Coturnix japonica: one gene and its partners. The protein of the gene in region 1 interacts with the protein of each later gene in a pairwise test. Links are inferred from orthologs where the notes say so. Each region holds a gene or a part of one and is shown on either strand. Other genes may lie near its edges.

What was found. The genes of interacting proteins can lie anywhere in the genome.
Region 2: the proteins of EGFR (region 1) and PRKAR1B interact in a protein complementation assay, tested with the Homo sapiens proteins (2 studies listed by BioGRID and IntAct). The link is inferred for Coturnix japonica from reciprocal best matches to the Homo sapiens genes EGFR and PRKAR1B.
Region 3: the proteins of EGFR (region 1) and FAH interact in a protein complementation assay, tested with the Homo sapiens proteins (2 studies listed by BioGRID and IntAct). The link is inferred for Coturnix japonica from reciprocal best matches to the Homo sapiens genes EGFR and FAH.
Region 4: the proteins of EGFR (region 1) and AKT1 interact in a protein complementation assay, tested with the Homo sapiens proteins (3 studies listed by BioGRID and IntAct, with this or other methods). The link is inferred for Coturnix japonica from reciprocal best matches to the Homo sapiens genes EGFR and AKT1.
Region 5: the proteins of EGFR (region 1) and GAPDH interact in binary tests that used the Homo sapiens proteins (3 or more experiments, as listed by UniProt). The link is inferred for Coturnix japonica from reciprocal best matches to the Homo sapiens genes EGFR and GAPDH.

What each region holds. Positions count from the first base shown.
Region 1 is NC_029517.1:73,823,017-73,826,961, forward strand, and holds the start of EGFR (epidermal growth factor receptor), read left to right. Parts: upstream 1-1,145; 5' UTR 1,146-1,466; coding exon 1,467-1,584; intron 1,585-3,945. UniProt on the Homo sapiens protein: Receptor tyrosine kinase binding ligands of the EGF family and activating several signaling cascades to convert extracellular cues into appropriate cellular responses.
Region 2 is NC_029529.1:2,232,260-2,236,267, reverse strand, and holds the start of PRKAR1B (cAMP-dependent protein kinase type I-beta regulatory subunit), read left to right. Parts: upstream 1-1,208; 5' UTR 1,209-1,587; intron 1,588-2,078; 5' UTR 2,079-2,106; coding exon 2,107-2,283; intron 2,284-4,008. Other genes in the region: DNAAF5 (dynein assembly factor 5, axonemal), read right to left, coding at 1-298. UniProt on the Homo sapiens protein: Regulatory subunit of the cAMP-dependent protein kinases involved in cAMP signaling in cells.
Region 3 is NC_029525.1:11,267,333-11,271,573, forward strand, and holds the start of FAH (fumarylacetoacetase), read right to left. Parts: upstream 2,801-4,241; 5' UTR 2,718-2,800; coding exon 2,637-2,717; intron 1,613-2,636; coding exon 1,502-1,612; intron 1,173-1,501; coding exon 1,051-1,172; intron 559-1,050; coding exon 509-558; intron 1-508.
Region 4 is NC_029520.1:46,986,318-46,990,562, forward strand, and holds the start of AKT1 (RAC-alpha serine/threonine-protein kinase), read right to left. Parts: upstream 2,801-4,245; 5' UTR 2,374-2,800; intron 1-2,373. UniProt on the Homo sapiens protein: AKT1 is one of 3 closely related serine/threonine-protein kinases (AKT1, AKT2 and AKT3) called the AKT kinase, and which regulate many processes including metabolism, proliferation, cell survival, growth and angiogenesis.
Region 5 is NC_029516.1:69,304,076-69,308,111, reverse strand, and holds the start of GAPDH (glyceraldehyde-3-phosphate dehydrogenase), read right to left. Parts: upstream 2,801-4,036; 5' UTR 2,677-2,800; intron 2,305-2,676; 5' UTR 2,287-2,304; coding exon 2,264-2,286; intron 1,650-2,263; coding exon 1,550-1,649; intron 1,337-1,549; coding exon 1,230-1,336; intron 1,146-1,229; coding exon 1,055-1,145; intron 948-1,054; coding exon 832-947; intron 731-831; coding exon 649-730; intron 480-648; coding exon 328-479; intron 215-327; coding exon 136-214; intron 1-135. UniProt on the Homo sapiens protein: Has both glyceraldehyde-3-phosphate dehydrogenase and nitrosylase activities, thereby playing a role in glycolysis and nuclear functions, respectively.

The sequences.
Region 1 (3,945 bases):
TCTAAAAGCTGATTTTTTCCTGGGCTTCTCATTTTTTAAAACCTTCATATTTGTCAAAATAAATGAAAATGTGTTATATGCACATAATGTTTTTGTGGTTGCACTGTGTAAACAGCATTGAAGCAAACTGAATTAAATGGATATTTTGTTGCAGGATCAGATTCTGCCTCTGTTAAAGGAACAGAAACAATCAGAGGAGCAGTGCTGTATGGATGTTACTTATTTCTGAGTTTACTTTGACGTATTTATTGTGTATTATTTACAGTGTATAAGGAAAAGAGCATACCAGTTACAGCATCCAAAGGCTCATCTTAAAAATAAACAATTAGAGGCACGATATGGTATGTGTTGGAGCATCTAACTTGTGCTAATGTAAGTAAATGGTGTTTCACTTTTCTTTGCCTAATTAGCACAGTAACTTGTTAAACTATCAGGGAAAAAAATGTGCAGAGGAATCTGATGGGTAGTATAAAATCAGTGAATCAATATAAATCAATATAAATAACTATCAAAGAATCTCTCAGAAGGCATGAATCACTGATGTAAGGCAGAATACACCCAGCAGCTGTTTTACTGTCTACGTAATGTATCTATGATATCCCCATGTGTTGCTATCAGCACATGGGGATAGGCATAGGCATTTAGTGTGTTACCTCCCAAGCCCCTTTCATTGTGAGATTCAGTTCTGGAGTTCCCAATAAATCATAGTAGTTCATATCCTATTGACTTTGTGGCCAAAATGACCACACGGGAATGGGGCTGTTCACGGGCTCTGTTGATGCCGAGGCAGCAGAAACGAGGGTTGTATATAATGGGACGGGATGGGTTTCTGCTGCAGAGCGTCCCACGGGAGGGACATGGATGGGGAGCTGAAGGCCACAGGGCTTTTCACAAGCGGCGACGCAAACGCCTGCTTATGCCTTCGGCAGCTACCGAGCAAACAAACAGCGGGAAGCGGACAACGGGATACCCTCAACACTCGCATAAACCTAGCGGGGGAATAGGCCAAGCTGTTCCCTCCCCCACAGCTGCTTCCTTCTGTCCTGGGACAGGTAGAGGCGGTTCCATTCCTACCTGGGCGGGGAAGGCGCCGCTGGTTCCTCCTCCCCCCGCTTCTTGCTCCCGCCCCATCCTCCTCCCCCTCGGCGTCCCCAGAGGGAGCCCCTGCGCTCCGTGGCCGGTCGGAGAGCGCAGCTGGGCAGAGTAGTCCCTTGGCCGGCCCCATCCGTTCCGCAGCCCCTGCGACAGAAGGAGAGGAGGGAGTAGGAAAGGAGAGGAGGAGGAAGAAGGCAGCAGTCCTTCTGCAGCTGGGTAGGAACGTGTGCGTGCAACCCTCGACGGCTGCCCTCCAGCATGTTGCTCGGAGGCAGAGTGGCAGCCAGGAGCTGAGCGGAGTAGAACGCAGAGCAGAGTAGCGCAAAGTGAGGAGCAGCTCGTCGGGGAGCTCCGTTTGCCCGTCGCGTTCGATGCACACCATGGGCGTTCTCAACCCCCTGTCCGCCGCCAAGCCCCGCGGGGCCGCTCTCCTGGTGCTGCTGCTGCTGGGGCGCGTCGCACTCTGTTCCGCCGTGGAGGAGAAGAAAGGTAACGGGTGGTACGGGTGCTGGGGCTACAGGGTGTGCCCCTTGGTACTGCGGGGAGAGTCGGAGGGAAAGTCTTGGCTTCGTCCCTTAGAAGAAAGGGGGGAAAAAGTAAAAAATAAAAAACTACTGAGAGAAAGATGGAAAAACAGACCTACAGAGCAGTCGCGCAGCTCATGACTTCCTGATTCTAAGCTTATTTTCTTTTGTGGGGGCGGAGGAAATAAAAGGGAATAAACCTTTGAGAGTCTCATCGCTTGTGCTTGTCCCCTCCCGAGGCTTTTATTTTCTGCTCTCTCCTCCACTCCGCCCCCGTGCTCTTTCCGCGGCGCCCCGAGCGCCCTCACTGCCCGGGTTCACCCCATGGTGGCCGCCGGCCCAGTACCGCTCTGCTACCGACACCGGGGAGGTGGCACCGAGCACGGCAGGGACACGCAGGGCAGCCTCAGCCGTCCCGCCGCCTCGGGCCGGGCACCTCAGCTCATTCCGCTTCAAAAAGATGAATGCATGCATATACGTGTGCACACACCTGAGAAGGGTGTGTCGGGGAGGACGGGAAACTTCATGCGGATTCTGGTTCTCCGGTCGTGCTCGCTCTCTCTCTCTTTCTCTCTGCCCGGCCCGATGCCTCCGCTGTCACCCTCGCTGAGAGCGCCCGGCAGCCGTGCGTGGGAACGGCGCGGGACGGCCCGCGAGGCTGTCTGGTTGGCTTCTGGAGCTTTGTTTTTTATACGTTTTTGAAAAACTGGTTTAAGGAGTGAGAGAACGTTTTTGTTGGGAGAGTTCCGTCGCTTTTTCTCCATGTGTGGTGATCATTTCTGTGAATAGGCCCCGAGTGCTGTTCCAGGCAGAGTACAGTTCTCTTTATCTTGGAGATCTGCCAGCAAGGGAAAAAATGCAGATCTGTTGTTGTGTTTTCTTTCTACAGAAAAAGAGGGAAAAAAGAATTAGTAGTGTTTTGAAGAGCTGGCTTGCAGCTGAAAACAGCTGAACCTATGTTTTTGTAACTGAGAACAGTAAAACTGTCCTGAAAGGGAGCAGCAGCTGCCTGTTCTGAGGAACTAGTTACACAACCTCAAAGCATTGAAGAGGCTCCCTTGTTCCAGAAATCAAGTTCATACCTGTTGCTGATGTAACGTAGGCAGCTCTTCTTTCCTGGGTTTCTGATCTTTTTCTTTTCTTGTCTCCCCTCATCCACTGAAAGTGACGGGGAGCAGAGCTGACTCCGTCTGCTGCATTTAAGTCCTTTGAAATGGAACACCCTGATGCACATGCCCAGCAGAATCTGTAAAATGTGAGGGTATATATGTTGTTGCCTTCTTTAAAGTGCTTAATCTGGTGTCTCATAAAATTATGAAGGTGCTGTTTATTTGAGGATTGTTAAATAAAAAACAGCTACATGATAAACCCAATGGGCATCATTGTCAGCATTGTGTTAGTGAGTAACCATTCCTGTGAGGAGGACCGGGGACAGAAGAGGGAAGGCAGAATAACTTCTTCAAGAAGCATGAATCAATTATTTGAGCTTTATCTGTTTTTCTCCGCATTTGAAGATGAGAGAGGAAATAAAGGTGGGTACAGAATAAAGTGGCATTTGGGAATCATAAAATAATGAGTGAAGACCCACTTCCTTGGGACCCCATGGCATCTGAATTTATAACAGTTCTGAAAGCAAATATGCTGCCATAAACATTGCAACACTCATGTTTTATGATAAAATTCTGTTGCTTCTAGAAGTACAAATAGTAAATGCATTTATGCTTCTTAATATTTTAGTTTGTATTATCCCCCCCAAATTACCTTGGCAAATCTTTTTTGTTACAAGAATGTCAGAATCAAACTATAATGGGCAATGTAATAGTTGAATGGAAATTAAAATTCACCTGTATATTTTACCAGAAGTTTAGAACAATCTTTTCAAATTTGGATGAGACGAAACTTTTTTATTTGAATGACTGCAGTCATGAAAATGAAAAACAAACCAAACAAACCCAGTAGCTGTGCTTAATGCAGCACCAAACAGCATTGTTAGAAATTGAACTGTCACAGGGATCAATACCTCCCTCTCTCTCAATCCACCATCTTTAATGTTGATCCAGATTAACAGCAGAGGAAGTAATCTGGATTTACACTGATAGTTGCTGGATGGCCTGTTAGGTGCCTTTGACAGCAGGCATGCCACTTCCTGCAGCATGCATTTGACTGATGTCCATTTTGTTTCTCATTGCTTAGTGACATTGCATTTAGTCAAACCATTTCTTGTTGCTTTTTTGGCTCTATATATCTAGTTTTGATCTGTAGTTGCAGCCATTGTGGAATGGAGTAAAGGACTGTGCACTCTAACCCACTGGGCAGTGTACTGGCT
Region 2 (4,008 bases), on another chromosome or scaffold:
CGACGGGCAGCGCCTCCCCGGGCCGCTCGCAGCGACTCAGGCCGTGCAGGAGCAGCTGCAGGGCGAGCTCCCGGCACCGCTCCGCCGCGTCCCCCGCCAGGCAGCGCGACAGAGGCCGCACCAGCTGCGCCTCGAAAACCTCCTGCACCGCCTGCGACGAGAGCGGCCGCTCCTGCACCTCGGCCCGGATGGCTTCTAGTGCTCGCAGCCGCGCGGCCCGGCCGCACTCGGGGCCCTGCAGGCAGCTCAGGGGCCGGCTCAAGGCCTGCGCCAGCTCCGCCGCCCCGCACGCCGCCATGCTGCCCCGCCGCTACGGAAGCGCGATGCCGTTGCTAAGGACGCGGCCGCTTTACGACGGCGAGAAAACGCTTTACGGCCGCACCGGGCACGCTTCGCCTCCATCCCTCCCGCTGTTGATGAATCCTTTCCAGAGACCCGGGTTCGAATCCCCCCTGTGGCGCAAGTGGTAGAAGTGCCGCTCTGCTACACAGGAGGCTCGAATCCCGGGGGTTGGACTCGATGATCTCTAAGGTCCCTTCCAACCCGCACGACACTGTGATACTGTGATACTGTGATACTGTGATACTGTGATACTGTGATACTGTGATACTGTGATACTGTGACTTGGGGGGCAGGATGCGATGAATGGACTTGGGGGGGGGCGGAAGAGCATGAATTGACTTGGGGGCCAGAATGAGGACTGTGGACTATGTGTGCCTCCGGTGGCGCAGTGGTTAAGGACGCCACTTTGCAACAGCGGAGGCCTGGGTTCGAATCCCCCCTGTGGCGCAAGTGGTAGAAGTGGCTGGACAATAGCAGGACACGGGGAAATGGTTTTAAGTTAAAAGAGGGAAGATTTAGGTTGGATGTCAGGGGGAAGTTCTTCACTAAGAGAGTGGTTAGGCCCTGGAACCAGACCTGGAACAAGACCTTGAACACTTGGAGGTGTTCAAGACCAGGTTGGACGGGGCCCTGGGCAACCTGATCTAGTAAATGTGTATGTTTGGTGGCCCTGCCAGGCAGGGGGGTTGGAACTACATGATCCTTGAGGTCCCTTCCAACCCGGGTCATTATGTGACTCTGTGAAGTGCCGCTCTGCTACACAGAGGCTCGAATCCCGGGGGTTGGACTCGATGATCTCTAAGGTCCCTTCCAACTCGCACGACACTGTGATACTGTGAACACCGCCGGGTTCGGGGCGCGGTGAAGCACGGAGCTGCCACACAGCGTCCGGCACCGCCGCACTGCGCTCAGCCGCCATTACACGGCGGGGAGAGAGCGGCGCTGTGACGGCCGGCCCGCTGTCCGCCTCCGCGTTATCCCGCTCCGCGCTGCCCGGTTCCGTGCTGCCCCGCCGAGGAGGCCGATCCTGCGGCTGACTGACAGCAGCGGCACTTCCTGCGGCAGGCCCGCAGCCTTTGTATCCGCGTCCGTCTGTGTGTGTGTGTGTGTGTGAGGGCACACAGGAGGCAGCTTCTCGGTCCCAGCGAGGGGAGGAGGAAGCGGTTGCGCTGCTGAAGCCGGCGGAGGAGCAGCTTCATCCGTGAGAGCGGCACAAAGAGCCGCCCCGCCGGATCAGCCGCCCAGGTACGGCCCGGTTGAGCTCCCTGCTGCTCAGCGGCGATGCGGCGCGCTGTGCTGGGACATAGAGGCCTCGCGAAGGTCCGAGCCGGGCTCTGTGCGGGGAGCTCGGCCCTCCTTCGGGTGTCACCGCGGCCCCGAGCGCTGCTTTGGAGCCACAAATCCTCCTGAGACACCAACCCGGGTTTGTGCTGAGCGGGGGGAGGCTGCGATGGGACAGAAATGCGGGGCTTTAAAGCGGTGTTGAATGACTGCCTCTAAAACTCATGGCCTTGTGTGATTCATTGTACCGTTATCTGTAGATGTTGAGGAGTTGAAGTGCTAGTTTTGTAGTTACCAATGTGTTGATCCTATAGAGATGCCGCGGTCTGCGTTTCCATAATAATTCCATATAATGCTCTGAATTGATAGCTCTCAGGCAGTACTTGTCTATCTCTGCTGCTCCAAGTTCCTCTGTTAAAGAATTGTCTCTTCTTTACACCATTTCCATCACCCAGGTCTGTTTACTGTTTACAAGCCTTGAAGATGGCTGCTGCTTCTTCCTGCAGTGTGGAAGAAGATGAGAGCCTGAAGGGATGTGAGCTGTATGTTCAGAAGCACAACATCCAGCAGATCTTAAAGGAGTGCATTGTGAATCTCTGCATAGCCAAACCAGATCGACCCATGAAGTTCCTCAGAGAACACTTTGAGAAATTAGAAAAGGTCAGTGATTTGAACGTGGCTCAACTTAATGATTTTAAGCTGAAAAGGTTGTTAAAACATTTCAGATGTTCTGGTATGATTTTCTTCTTAACTTTTGAATTAACAAGCTGTTGTTAAAAAGCAAAGGCTGTTAGAAACAAGCAAATAAGCAGCCCTTTATTTGCCGATGGCTGCCATGGTTCTGTTACTGTCTGTAACACCAAGATTATGATTATCATCATATTGAACTTGTTACAAGTGACCCAAGAACTTGGAAGTGTACTCTGTGTTGTGGTGCATGACATTCTCAGCTCTCATCCATGGTTAGAGCAAAAGATGCTGTTCCCTGTTCATTCTGGTGTCAGGTGAAGTGCTTTTCACATGCCTTTTAAATTGAACAAAGTCATAGAACCAGCAGGTACTTAAAACCATCAAAGTCTGTTAATTTAATTGCTCTTTCTTGCATTCCATATCCTGGTATCTCCAATGAGAGATGCATCCAGAGAAGCTTCATATACTGTGCCTGTGTTCAGAAGCAGCATAGAGGGGAAACATACTTCAAAACATCCTTAGGCAAATCTTTACTGAAGCATATTGGTGTCTTTTGCAGGTAGTGTGAGTGCATCTGTTTGAGGGGATGGGGTTTCTCAATGAATAGATGCTCATGGGCACACAGAGCTGCAGGTTGTTAACTGTATGCATCCTTTATTAGTGTATTTAATGTAGGAAGACTGTTATTATGTTTGAGGTTTTGGGTTTATTTTTTTCCTAGTTAAGCACATAATATTTGTAGGCTTGAGATAGGAGTTTTATGTGTATTATTTTCCTCCTAGGAACGGAACTTTGTAAGGACAGAGCAAGAACAATTAACTAGTGAATGATGCATAGAGCTGCTATGTTACTGATGATAGGAGCGTTGTACACATCTCTCCTCATTTGTCTGCTTTTCTCTATCTGTGGATATAGGTGAAGTTTGTGTAGCCTGAAAATAAATACAAACTCTCTACTCGGCTCTTGTTAGGCCCCATCTCTCATACTGTATCCAGGTGTGGAGCCCTCAGTACAAAAAAGACATAGAGATTCTGGAAAGGGTCCGGAGGAGGGCCACGAAAATGATCAGGGGGCTGGAGCACCTCCCCTATGAGGACAGGCTGAGGGAGTTGGGTTTGTTCAGCCTGGAGAAGAGAAGGTTGCGGGGTGACCTCATTGCAGCCTTTCAGTACCTGAAGGGAACTTACTCCCAGGAGGGGAGTAAACTCTTCGAAAGGGCTGATAGTAGCAGGACTAGGGGAAATGGTTTTAAGTTAAAAGAGGGAAGATTTAGGTTGGATGTTAGGGGGAAGTTCTTCACTAGGAGAGTGGTTAGGCCCTGGAACAGGCTGCCCAGGGAGGTTGTGGATGCCCCGTCCTTGGAGGTGTTCAAGACCAGGTTGGACAGGGCCCTGGTCAACATGATCTAGTAAAGGTGTATGTTTGGTGGCCCTGCCAGGCAGGGGGGTTGGAACTACATGATCCTTGAGGTCCCTTCCAACCCGGGTCATTCTGTGATTCTGTGATTGTATCCAGGTGGAAATCCACAAAGAAGGCCTGGAATACTGGCAGGGAATGGGAAGTACAGACTTTTTTTCATTGTATAATGCAGTATTTAAGAAAGAAACCCAAATATCTTTTGATTCTGCCTCTGTTAAACTCCTTGGAGCCACGACCTGTTTGAAGGGAATTAAACGTGTTGAATTTCCTTTGTGA
Region 3 (4,241 bases), on another chromosome or scaffold:
AGAGACACTCAGCAGCATTTGGAATCGTTGCCGGAGTGGGCGGGCTGCTGCTGCCCTCTGCTGGGTGATACTGTGTTGGAAGCCTCGCTGCAGCCAACCTAACACTTAAAGCTGTACATAGCTTTGGGTGCCGTAACATAAGAAGGAAATAAAACCATCAGGGCATGCAGAGGAAAACGAAGATGGTGAAGGGTCTAGAGAGCAAGGTGTGTGAGGATCACAGCCACAAAGGCCTTTGGTGTTGTGAATCTGACATTTCATGGCACAGGACAACCCGGAGTTAAACCACATCCAGGAGTTTTCTGGCTGATAATGAGCTTCCCCCGGCTTTTCATCTTGCACTGCCGACAGCACCTACCATTCACTGCATACAACGAGCTACTTCTGGCTCCTACAAAGCCCACTCCCCATCACAGCTACGCTAAGTCTGAGCAACCTGGAAACAAAGCAGACCCTTCAGGCAGGAGCAAAGGGCAGTGCTGAGTAGCCGGCAACCCACAAGGCTTACCAATGTGTGCTGGCAGGTGCATGGTAGCAGAAGCCTGAGGTACAAATGCCCTGAAATAAAAGACAAAGACTTCAGCTCTCAGAATAGTTTGAGGCTTTCACCCTGAAGTGGTTTTCAAGCACAAAAGGGGCTGAGCATCTCTTGAAGCAGCTCCATCCTTATTTTGCTTTGCAAAGCCTTGCAGCAATTCCTTTCTAGTTGTAATAAAAACAAGGGCACTGTTGGGATAGGGGGAGGCACAGGCTGGAGGCCCCACAGCCACTTCCCCCATGGAGGCAGTTGTTGTTTTGCATGGAGCTCCAGGTGTCCCCATGGGCTCCAAGCACCTGATCAGCTGTAGGTGCCCCTGTTCAGTGCTGGGAAATTGGACCAGATGGCTTTGAAGGGTCCCTTCCAACTCAAATGGTTCTATGATTGTATTTGCAGGCAATGAAGTGATTAACCAGAGACACAGCAAGGGGTGGGAAGGTGTCATTAGGCCTAAGCAGCAGTGGGATCCCGTTCAGATGGCGGGCAGTTGCCTCAGGCCCATGTTGGCTCACCGTTTCCGCAGGCCCGTGTTGTCCCGCAGCGTTGGCTCGGCAGCTGACAGCAGTGACTGCAGCAGGACACGGGCTTCCCTCCAGGCAGTGGGGCCCAGCCCCATGAAGGCACTGAGGGTGGGCTGATGGGCAATAGATGACAGACTGAGTTTTGCTTCACAAGAGCACCCAGATGCCCCCACTGCATCCCCACAGCTATAGGCTGCCTCTAAGCAGAGCACAGCCAATGGTGCTGGCCCACACTCCTGATGAGATGCCCCAAATTTGTGCCCTGTCACAGAAATCAGTTGGATATTAGGAAAAATCTCTTATCAGAAAGAGCAGTGCTGCAGTGGCACAGCTGCCCAGGACAGTGATGGAGTCACCATCCCTGGAGGTGTTCAAGAGCTGTGGGGAACTCTCACATGTCTAAGAGCACACAGAAATCCAAACTATGGCCTGAGATAAATACCTGGTCAAAGACATGCTGGTGTTTGGCAAGAGCCGGTCCATTAAACAGATGCTTGATGACACTGAGATCCAAGATTTGGTCTCCAATCGCTACCCCAATCCTGTGCCGAGGCTGCAAAGCGGTGAGAGTGGAGGGAAGAGAAGAAGAGTTTATGTTTGTACCCCCAAACCCTCCAGCGATCACAGAGAGATGAACCCATGAGGACAGGGTCTAACACTCATTAGGAAAACAAACTTAACAAAATGGAAAAACTCACGCAATTTAACCTATTTTTTAACCTCAAATTTCCAAACAAGATATTCCTTAATCTTTAATTTCTAAGCACGATTCCCGCTGTGATAAGGATTCATTCAGCAAACATCCCTGCAGAGCGCCGGGTTAATTTGTAACGACACCAACTGCCATAGCTGGAAATCATGGGGACATGGTGCCAGTTTTAAAACGTTATTACCCCAAAGGATTTCCATAAACCCTCACCTGACTTCTAATTAGATCTTGGCCAAAATGTGACGCACTGGAACAGGTTGTCCAATGAGGCTGTGGATGCCCCATCTCTAAAGGCATTCAAGGCCAGGCTGGATGTGGCTCTGGGCAGCCTGGCCTGGTTGTTGGTGACCCTGCACATAGCAGGGGTCTAAAACTGGATGATCATTGTGGTCCTTTTCAACCCAGGCCATTCTATGACTCTGACAGAACAGCACTGGCTTGAACCTTTGGGCACATTTAACACTTTGCTGCAGCGCCGTGCCCAACAAACCATAATGGGGCAGCAGCAGAGATAGAAGTGACACGTGCATGCAGTGCTCTGCTTTAGTACTCTTGCAACCAACCAGCTGGTGAGAGCAGGCTGCTAAAGGCCAGAACACGGTACATACAAATACAGCTATTGCAGGAGACAATTCATTTGACAATAGTCAAAACCACACAAAAACCATAGGATGCAGCAGCCAAAGTGCTCCTCAGAACTACTAACACTTCCCATTCTTTACTATAGTTTAAAGGAGGCTGTTACCAGAAGCCTTATGTGAAGCAAAAAGACAACTCAGATTTCCTTATCCCATGTTGCTGGAGTTCCTCCATTCCACAGGCTCCACACAATTACAACAGCCCGAGGACAACCTGTGCTTTTACTCACCTCCTCCCTTGTGGAGAAAACCCCATAGGGGAGATTTTGCAGAGGGAAATCTGAGTCCTTGTCCACGTGGATGAAAGACATGCTGAATGCTCACAAAGAGCCCCGACCTGCTGGGCCACTGCGCTCCTACCTCAAAGGAAGAGCCCCTTTGGATGTTGTAACAGGGAGCACAGCAGCACCAAATCCCACCCTCCATCCGCAGCCCCAAACCAATCGCAGCCCTGCCCGCATCCCACCCCTCATCCCGCTGGCAGCAGCTGTGGTTAATTAGTGCCAGAGGTTTGCATGAGTCAGCAGCTGGTAACTGTTCCTGCCGAGGTTGGGGCCAGCACACTGACAGGCTCTTCCTGCTCGATAAACCCTTACATGAAACCAAGGCCATTTTTCACCAGCTCGGTCCTTGTGGGTGGGGAATCCATGCAGGCAGCTCCATGTGGGGCGGTGAGAGCAGAGATGCCACCCATTTACCTGCCACGGGGGTGATTTACTTGACAGCAAGGTGGGAAAATGATGTCCCCATCTCACCTCAGTGGAGCAGTTCTTCTGCCAGCAGCTCAGCAACACGGAGAAAGTGCTCAGCTGACACCTCCAGCTGCACTTCACCTCCTTTTTAGCTTTGTAATGCTGTATCCGAGTTACATTTTCACCAGTTCCAATAGCTTAAAAACAGGTGTGTGCAAACAACAGAACAAGGGCAGAGGAACCTGTGGCATCTTCTGATCCCCAACCCAGCTGTCACACCGTGCACAGAAACCAATGAGGGAATGACTTGTGAAACTGAAACCAAATAGCAAAGGTCACACCTTTCCAATAAGCGCAGTTAGACAGCTCGTGACTGCCAAGCAAAGAACTTAGAACTTATTTCCTGCTCAACTTTTCTTTTCTGGCAGAGAAGACTCTTTAGAAGAAACAGAGCAAGCTGGAGAGGCAGAGATTCAGTGCGAGATGACACAACACCAGCGACGAGAGCCCATCTGTGACAGCTCATGTGGCGCCATCTGGAGCAGGTTCTTCTTTCAAACAATACGACGCCTCGCACCAACTCCTGCAGAATTCCCTGTAAGCAAATCCAGTGCATCTCAAGTTACGACTCTGTGCCAATGATGGCTGAAAAACGCCGCGAAGAGGCTCCATGTGAGGTTACAGGAACTGTGTGTAAGCTGCGTACTGCAAGGAGAAAACAACAGCTTGAAAGCGTGCGTCCAATACACAGCGTGCATCTTGAGAAACAAGATTCATGCAAGGCTGCTGCAGTGCTGTGAACGTGCTGGTATTAATTAAAATGTTCATCTGCTAACCTAATGCTGATGACAGAATATGAAGAGCACGGCTGGTTATCCAGATTGAGAAGCAGATCAACCACCACGATAACATGAAGCCAACGCCAAAGCAAACACCAACTCGCTGTCAGGGAAAGGTGGATTTCCAGTCCAAGTTCATATATCAGGACCATATTATCTTTCAATATCCTTTACTCGGAGCAATCTGAACGAGCCAGGCCATAAACAAATTTATTAGGTTGTCTTGAGAAGGATATGTGTAGAAACAGAATTACCCAACACTACCCCTGCCAGTCAGTACAGCCATTGCACTGCACGTCCAGTT
Region 4 (4,245 bases), on another chromosome or scaffold:
ACCGTCACAAGAACAGCAGGGGAGCAGAGGTGCGTGTTGTGGGGCCCACACATCACACCAGCAACCTGCGCTCTCTTTCTGCATCATATCCCCGCTCTCCCTTTAAGCTCACAGCCAACTGTATCCAAACGGCACAAGAGCAACAAAGTTGGGCTCCAGCAAACGTTTTAAGTAGAGCGTACGGAGCAGTATCTCCACCAGGCTCTGACCAGTGAAGTACATCTCCTGCATTATGCAAATCCTACCCAGGAGAAGCAGCGCTTCCAAAGCACTCAAGGCCTTGTGAACTCACAGCGGCTTCACACCATGACCTAGTTACTCAATCTGGGCAGACAGCTTTCAAGAGAGAACAGAAGGACCAGGTTGTTCCAGCATCTTAGCTTGCTTTACAAAAATGCATTGTGGCCCATGAGTTAGGCATGGTCACAAATATTTTGCTACTAGCTCATGTGATGTTCCATTCAGAACAACACCATGTCTAAATGAGTATTTCATGACTGTACGTGCAGCTTATCACAAGGTTTAATAATGCTTCTCTGACACTAAGAACTGCGGGAAAAAGCAGTAAGTGGAGAAAAGATCTCTAAAGCCACATCCACTTTTCCTCCAATCCGTCAGCACAATCTAGGTTTACAAAGCTGCAATTTGGAATGCCTGTGCTCTCACGTCTCCACTAATCAATAGACAGGAGGTTGATTTGGTTCAGGTGAGGGGCCAGAGTTACGACATGCAGCTGTCTGAGCTTCAACCACAACTGCAGTTTGATAGGACAAACTGAACTGCGTATTTCAAAACTAAGCAATGGCAGAAAAAGAGATCTCTTCATACTCTCCGTCAAAGACATAGGCTAAACAAAATCTTCTTTATGTTCCAAAACAAGAAGAAGGCCTTTTACAGTTTACCCTCATATAATTTAATGACTGTGCTGCTCAGAACTTCTGCACCGACTTAAGATGCATTTAATCAAATCCCGTTTCAAAGTATTTATAACGGAAGTTTTGTTCCGTCTCCCAAACAAACCAAGTCACTCATGAACCCATTTAATCCTATTTGTAATTACTTACAGGTTGTTTCTATAAGCCAGCAACGCCGGAGCTACAGGTTACTTGTGGACACTGGATCAATTCTTAGATTCGATTTACTGCTGCAGCTCAGAACCTAAAGCAGTTCTATAATGTACACAAGGAAAACCCTCCTGTTTAAAGAAAATCAAAGGTAGTTCCACGGTGCCTTTAAATCTATTAACTCAGACAAATGCTGTGGCTGTCATCAGGAAATTAGCTGCTACAAAAAAGTAATTACTAGTCATAGGCTGCGTTACGTTTATTTACCTGTAAACAAATATTCTTCTGAATTAAGTCTTAGTAACGCCCCTTTGTAACTGTATTTCAAAATGTACATCCCTCCTGGTGGCATAAGTACAGCAAACAAGAGTAAAGCAGGGATTAGCTTCTTGTATGGGTGGGATGGAAGAAAAATAAAGCAGAGAGAAAAATGGTTAAATCCTTTCCCAGGGGCAGGGGGAATCCCAATAAGGTGCAACCTGCATCTGTACCTTTGTGTCAGTAAAAACAGACAGCAAATACAGCACACACTGTTAGAATTCTGAGCTCTACAAAGAACCCAAAGGAAAAGTCCTGGAAGTCTGCAGGAACGTTTCAGCGATTGCAGAATTCCACCTGGGGGGCGGAGGGGGGTTGGCTGTAAGCAGCTCCTCGCAGCTCTGCACAACACCGCCGCAAGAACTCAAAGCAATGGGGCCCAGCAACACTGCCCAGCACCACCAACACACGGAGACTCACACCCCCGACTGTAAACACTCCCCGATCCTCAACGCAGCGCGGAGCCGCACAAAAGATAAAGGGAGAAAATGGGGGCGGGGGGAGTAGATGGAGGAACGATCGGCCACTTTCTGTGCTACACTTTGGGAAATGCCCCGTGCCTCCCTCTGCCCCAAAGCCCCTTTTTCCCTCGGAGATGCTCGGGGACGACGCGGTTGCAGCAGGCCCAGAGGGCGGCCGGGGGAGCCCCCCACCCCGCAGCACTTCCATTCCCCGCATCCCAGGGAAGCCAACAGCTTCCTGTTCGCCCCGAGCCCTCCCGCCCGGCTCCGGGCCGCAGCCCTGCCCCCCCCTACCCCGTACATACACGCACACCCCCGGCGGCCCCTCGGTGCCTCAGCCCGGGCCAGCAAAAGCCCCCGCCGCGGCCTACGCGGGTCAGCGGGCGCCCGGCGGCCGCCGCCCGGGGAAGGAGCAGAGCGGCCGCCTCGCCTCGCCTGTCCGCCCCTCCCGGCCCCGCACAATGCGCGGCGGAGCAGGCCCCGGCGCTTCCTTCCCCCGGCCCTTCCCACCCCGGGAGCGGGTCACTTACATGGCTCCGGGAGCCCAGGGTGGAGGTGATGGGAGGGCGGCGGCGGCGGCGGCAGGGGAAAGAGGCAGGGGAAGGGGAGGGAAGGGGGGAGCGAGCGAGCGGAGGAAGGGAGAGCCTGGCGGGCGGGCGCCGAGCGAAGGCCTAACTGGGCTCACGGCAGCCGCCGCCTCCTCACCATCCCCGGGCGGCGGGCGGCGGGCCGGCTCCTCCTCCCCTTCTCGCAGGCGCTCGGCCCATGGGGCTCACACGGGCTGCCGGCTCTGCCTTCCCCGCCGCTCCGCCTCGCTCCTGCCTCTGGCCGAGAGGAGGAGGCTGCCTCTCGCTCAGCAGCACCCCCGGAGCCGCAGGGCCGAGCTCCCCGCAGCCGGAGCCGGGCTCGTCCCACACGCTCTCTCTCACATCCTCCGGGTCCTACCGCCGTCGCTCCGCTTCCCGCCCGCCCCGCCGCGCTGTGGGGCCGCGCTGTGGGGCCGCCCTGCTCCGCCTCGCTGCTCCCCTCAGCCCGCCGCCTACCCGGCCCCGGGCCCCGCTTCGGGCTGCCGGCTTTGAGAGGCACCGCCGGCCTCTACAAGGGGCGTCCGGTTGCCAGAGCCTGGGTGTGGGTCACTTTATAGTTTCTCCTGGCTTTGAGGTGCGGGTGTCTGGTCTTGCCGAAGTGTTCCCAAAGTGTTGGCAATGAACTCCAAAAAGCAGGCATCAAGCACGGGGCCACGGTGGTTTCGTGGCACCTCTGCTGCTCAGAAAGCATGTGGCTCCTGTACAGCGCCAGAGCAACTTTGTGAAGCTTTCCTGAAGCCGTACAAATCTACTTAACACGCTGCAGGTTTTTCCCTGCGCCTCCTAAATCCTGATTGATTCAATAATGCGGTATCACTTAGAGGATATTCCAGTATCCTTTCCCACAGCAAGGGGGGCTGCCTGGGGACAGGGTAGCAACCCAGGCCATGAGTCTAGGTGCTGCATCTCAGCCTCCTTGCTGCTTGCTAGGCCGTTCTGCTCTCAGTACACACAAATAATACAGTCACAGAATGGCTCCTGTTGGAGGGAACCTCAAAGCACACCCAGCTCCAACACCCTGCTGTGGGCTGGCTGCCCCCCACCAGCTCAGGCTGCCCAGGGCCCCATCCAGCCTGGCCTTGGGCACCTCCAGGGATGGAGCACCCACAGCTCTCTGGGCAGCAGTGCCAGGGCCTCACCGCCCTCTTAGAGATGAATTTATTCCTAACGTCTAACCTAAATGTCCCCTGCTTTAGTTTAAAGCCCTTCCCAAACCATTACGGATTGCTGCAGCAACGAGAACTGTCGCTTGCAGCAGGGCAGTATTTTGTCAGATTTTAAGAGCTGCTCCGCTCTGAAAAACGATGTTGTGGAAATGGCTTTGACAGATTTATGATTTCTCTGTGCTTCCAGTATCAAAATTTTCCCTGTTTACTCATTAAGGGATTTTGTTTATTTTCTAATTGACAGTGCCATAAAATCTAACTGGGCCGTAAGAGTGCTTTGATTTGTTCAGAAGCATGCGATCACTGATGATCGTGTTTCTGTAATTGGAAGCTCGTTAGAATTTAGAAAATGCCACATCTTCCCACAGCTTTGCACTGTTAACAAAATAAAGGTGCGTAAAATGCATTTACATCAGTAAAGCTGGGGAACGCAGCTCTGCATTTACACAGGCAGCAAATCTATTTGACATACTAAGAGTTTTTCCTGCGGTGTCATTGGGAATGATTGTATGTTCTTACTGAAATTCACATTTTATATCCTTCTTCCAATGTGATCAACTAGAAAGTCTGTCCAAAGAATTATATCCGTCACTAATTTTCTGAGTGTCCAGTGGATCATCAGATTCTGTGTATATCAGTGCACTAAAGG
Region 5 (4,036 bases), on another chromosome or scaffold:
CTGCATAGCACTAGCCATGCACATTAGGTGCTATTTTCAGCAAAACCAAGATTTTTCTATTAAATAGATTGATGTTGAAGGAAGTAATTTTAGAGGCAGGCCTGAAGATTCTTCAGTCTTGTCCACAGCACTTACTGGTTTCTCCAGACGGCAGGTCAGGTCAACAACAGAGACATTGGGGGTTGGCACACGGAAAGCCATTCCAGTAAGCTTCCTGCAAGAGATATGTCAGCAAAGAACAGTGTAAGCATGTTCTACCACAAAAGTGTTTGAGCCAGCCACACACTGGCTCCTGCCCCCCATCAGACACAGAAAGAGGACGCTCACCCATTGAGCTCAGGGATGACCTTCCCCACAGCCTTAGCAGCCCCAGTGGATGCTGGGATGATGTTCTGGGCAGCACCTCTGCCATCCCTCCACAACTTCCCAGAGGGGCCGTCCACAGTCTTCTGTGTGGCTGTGATGGCGTGCACAGTGGTCTGTGGAAAGAAGGCCCAGAAGTAAGAAAGCAGTCACTTTCCCCAGAGAAAGCACCCCCAGCACTTCCTCCCAAGCCCAATGGAAGCACTGTGTGTGAATGCTTTTTTCCCCCACACATGGAGGACCTGGGGGCAGGGTATCTTACTGAGCATCAAGCTCCAGACCTACCATAAGACCCTCCACAATGCCAAAGTTGTCATGGATGACCTTGGCCAATGGTGCCAGACAGTTGGTGGTGCATGAAGCATTGCTGGGGGAGAAAGAAGGCACATCAGCCAAGTACAACACATGTATATACGTGCAACAAGACCCGAAGAAAATTCCAGGCCAGGGAGCATTCTTCTCCCTTACCTAACAATTTTCAGGGACTTATCATATTTCTCATGGTTGACACCCATCACGAACATGGGAGCATCAGCTGAGGGGGCTGAGATAATAACACGCTTAGCACCACCCTTCAGATGAGCCTGAAAAACAAAAAAGGAAAGATTAAATTACCCAGAACGGCCCAACAGTTGAGAAGGAATACAATCCTCAGAGCACCTTTTCCCATGGGCCACAGCAGCCTACATACCCCAGCCTTCTCCATGGTGGTGAAGACACCAGTGGACTCCACAACATACTCAGCACCAGCATCTCCCCACTTGATGTTGCTGGGGTCACGCCTGAGAGGGGACAAAACCATGGGAGTTACTCTGGAGGGCACTTACTTTCATTCTCTGGAGCAGCGAGAGAAGAAAGCTACTCACTCCTGGAAGATAGTGATGGCGTTCCCATTGATCACAAGTTTCCCGTTCTCAGCCTTGACAGTGCCCTTGAAGTGTCCGTGTGTAGAATCATATTTGAACATGTAAACCTAGCAGGGAGAGAAAAGAGAAGGGTCAGGCATCCTAGATGCAAAGCTCCCACTACAATACCAGCCATCTTGTCTAACTGCTGCTCTGTATTTTGCTCTGCCCAGCTTTGCATCACTACATCTCATTTCTCTCTTAACCTATGCCAGGTTTCCAAGGGGAGCCCCGCTGAAGGTGCACGCATCGCCCAGAGGGGGCACTGCAAGACAACTCACCATGTAGTTCAGATCGATGAAGGGATCATTGATAGCAACCACTTGGACTTTGCCAGAAAGGACAGCAGCCCTGGTGACCAGGCGGCCAATACGGCCAAATCTGGGGAGAAACAGAGAGGTGGGTGAGGAGGAGCACTGAGGAACATGCTTGGTAAGGCACGGCTGAGCCTATCTGCTACTTCCCCCCAGAGCATCTGTCAGTCGCTGCCTGAATGGAATCCAACAGCAGCGGCCAAAGGCCGAGGAGCCGTGGTTAAAGATTAAGAGCGACCCCCGGGCAGGGCACCCACACCACAAAGGTCAGGCGCTAAATTTACTGAGGGCCCCGGGGATCCGGTTACTCCTCGGTGCGGTGGGAGAAGGTCACGTTCCCGGGGCACGGCCGACACACGATCCACCGGGCGACCTTTCCTCGGGTACCCACTGCCCCGGGGAGCCCCATTAGTGCGGGCAGAGCCCCCGACGGGGCACGCGGGCAGCACCGGCGCTTCCGGGGTGACTCACCCCGACCGTGCGGGGAAGTGACTCAGCACCGCCCCACGGGGCCGTTACTCCCGGTTGGGGGTTGGAGGATGGGGGGGTCTCTCCGCGGCGCCGCGGGGCCCCCCGCCCTTCAGGCGACCTTGTCTCGTGTCGTCCTCCCCCCCCCCACGGGCACGTACATCCCCGCCCGCCCCGCCCGGCGCCTCCCGTCCCGGCTCCGCACTCACTCACCCGTTGACTCCGACTTTCACCATCTCTCCCTTATAGTGTACCTGCGGGGACACGCCAACGCTCAGACGTGCGGTACCGCACGCAGCCCGCCCGCCCCATAACACCCCCCCACCGCACGCACCGGGAGCCGCCCCCCCACCCGCCATCCCTCCCTCCCTCCATCCCCACCGAGCTGTGCCCCCCGCACCTCTCCCCCCACCCCCACCGCCTCCATCTTACGCCGCCCGCCCCCGCCTTTGTGCCCCGGGCACCACGCGGTCCTGCACAGCCCCCTCCCCCCGCCGCACTCCTCGCGGTCCGACGGCCCCGACCCTACGAGGGGCTCAAGCAGACGGGAGGGCGGCCGGCTGGGTGGGTGGGTGGGTAGGGGTGGGGGGAGCCGTTCCTCCGCCCCCGTGCCCCCCGCCCGTTACCTGCTCCTAGTCAACGGCCCCGGCGCGCAGTGAGAAGGTGGCGCAGTGCCGCTCCGCCGCCCTTTATAGACACGGCGGCAGCACCCCGCGCCCCGCCCCGCCGGGCCGGCACCGAATGGCAGCGCGAGGGCCGGGCCGGGGCTACGTGCACGCACGGTGCGGGTGAAGCGGCAGCCCCCCCCCCGCTTCTCTCCCCCTCCCCCCTCGCAACAAAGGGCGGCCGTTGGGTCGAGGGTGGGCTCGGGGGGTTGGGGCCGCACTGCGGGGCTTGTACGGAGTGGGGGTGCCCTTCGGATGGGGGGTGCAGACAAAGCCCCGCGTCGGTGTCCTCGGGTGAGGCTGCGGGGTGCGGCTGCAGCACGATGCGGTGCGGCGGGTGCGGGCTGCATTAATGGCAGCACGCACGGCCGAGAGAGCGCCGTGCTGCGAGCCCGCAGCCTGCCCGCTGCCATAATCAGCCCTCGCACGTGTTGGTCACGCAGCCCCGGGCTGCCGGGGTCCCGCACCCGCTGTCACACCGGCGCTCTCAGGCCGCGCTAATAAGGAACTGCAGCATCTCTTGCGCCGTGACAGCGGATATCCTCATATCCTCCCGCCGCCTCGAGCCGCCGCCGTCCCTCTCCCAGCCCGGCACGTCTGCGCCTGGCAGCCGGGCCCGGGGTGTGGGCAAGAAGCGGTTCTTACGTGTTACGGCTGGGGCTCGTGCGGCCCAAAGAGGGGCCGTGGGATGGAGCCGTGCTGGGTTTATAGCCTCCATCCCCTGCGATGGAGCGGGTGCTCGAAGCCGGATGCCCGGCGGGAGGAGGGGGCGTGCAGGGGTGAGGTGGGCCCCGGCTCCAGCGGTGGGGACGGAGGATGCCGGGGGGAGAGGGTCCGAGCGGGGGGTCACGCAGCTCCCGTAACCCAACGCTCCTTGTACGGCTGCCATTCCCGGAGCACCGAGGGGCAGCGGCTAAGTTTAGCCCCGGCTTGAGGTTACGACCTTTTCTTAAAGGCCAGGGGAGGCGGCGGTGCGGCCCGAAGGGGGCTGCGATCGCGGGGCCGGGGGAGCCCCCCGCACGTCGCGGGGTCAGGGCCGGCAGGGAGAGCGGAGGCCCCTTGTTTGCTCGGCAAACACGGCAGCGGCCGAGGGGCAGAGTGTGGCGGGACGGAACAACGCTGCGGCCCCGGGGCGCAGATCGATGGACCCGCCGCCCATCCTCCCCCCAGCGCCGGGCTCGGGCCCAGGCCGCGGACGCGCGTGCGGCCCGGCCCACCCGGAATGGCGGCGGCGCCCAAAATGGCCCCGCGCGTGGGGGCCGCGTTGCCGTGCGGAGCCGCGGGCTCTGCCGCCATCTCCCGGCGGACGCGGGCGGGGAGA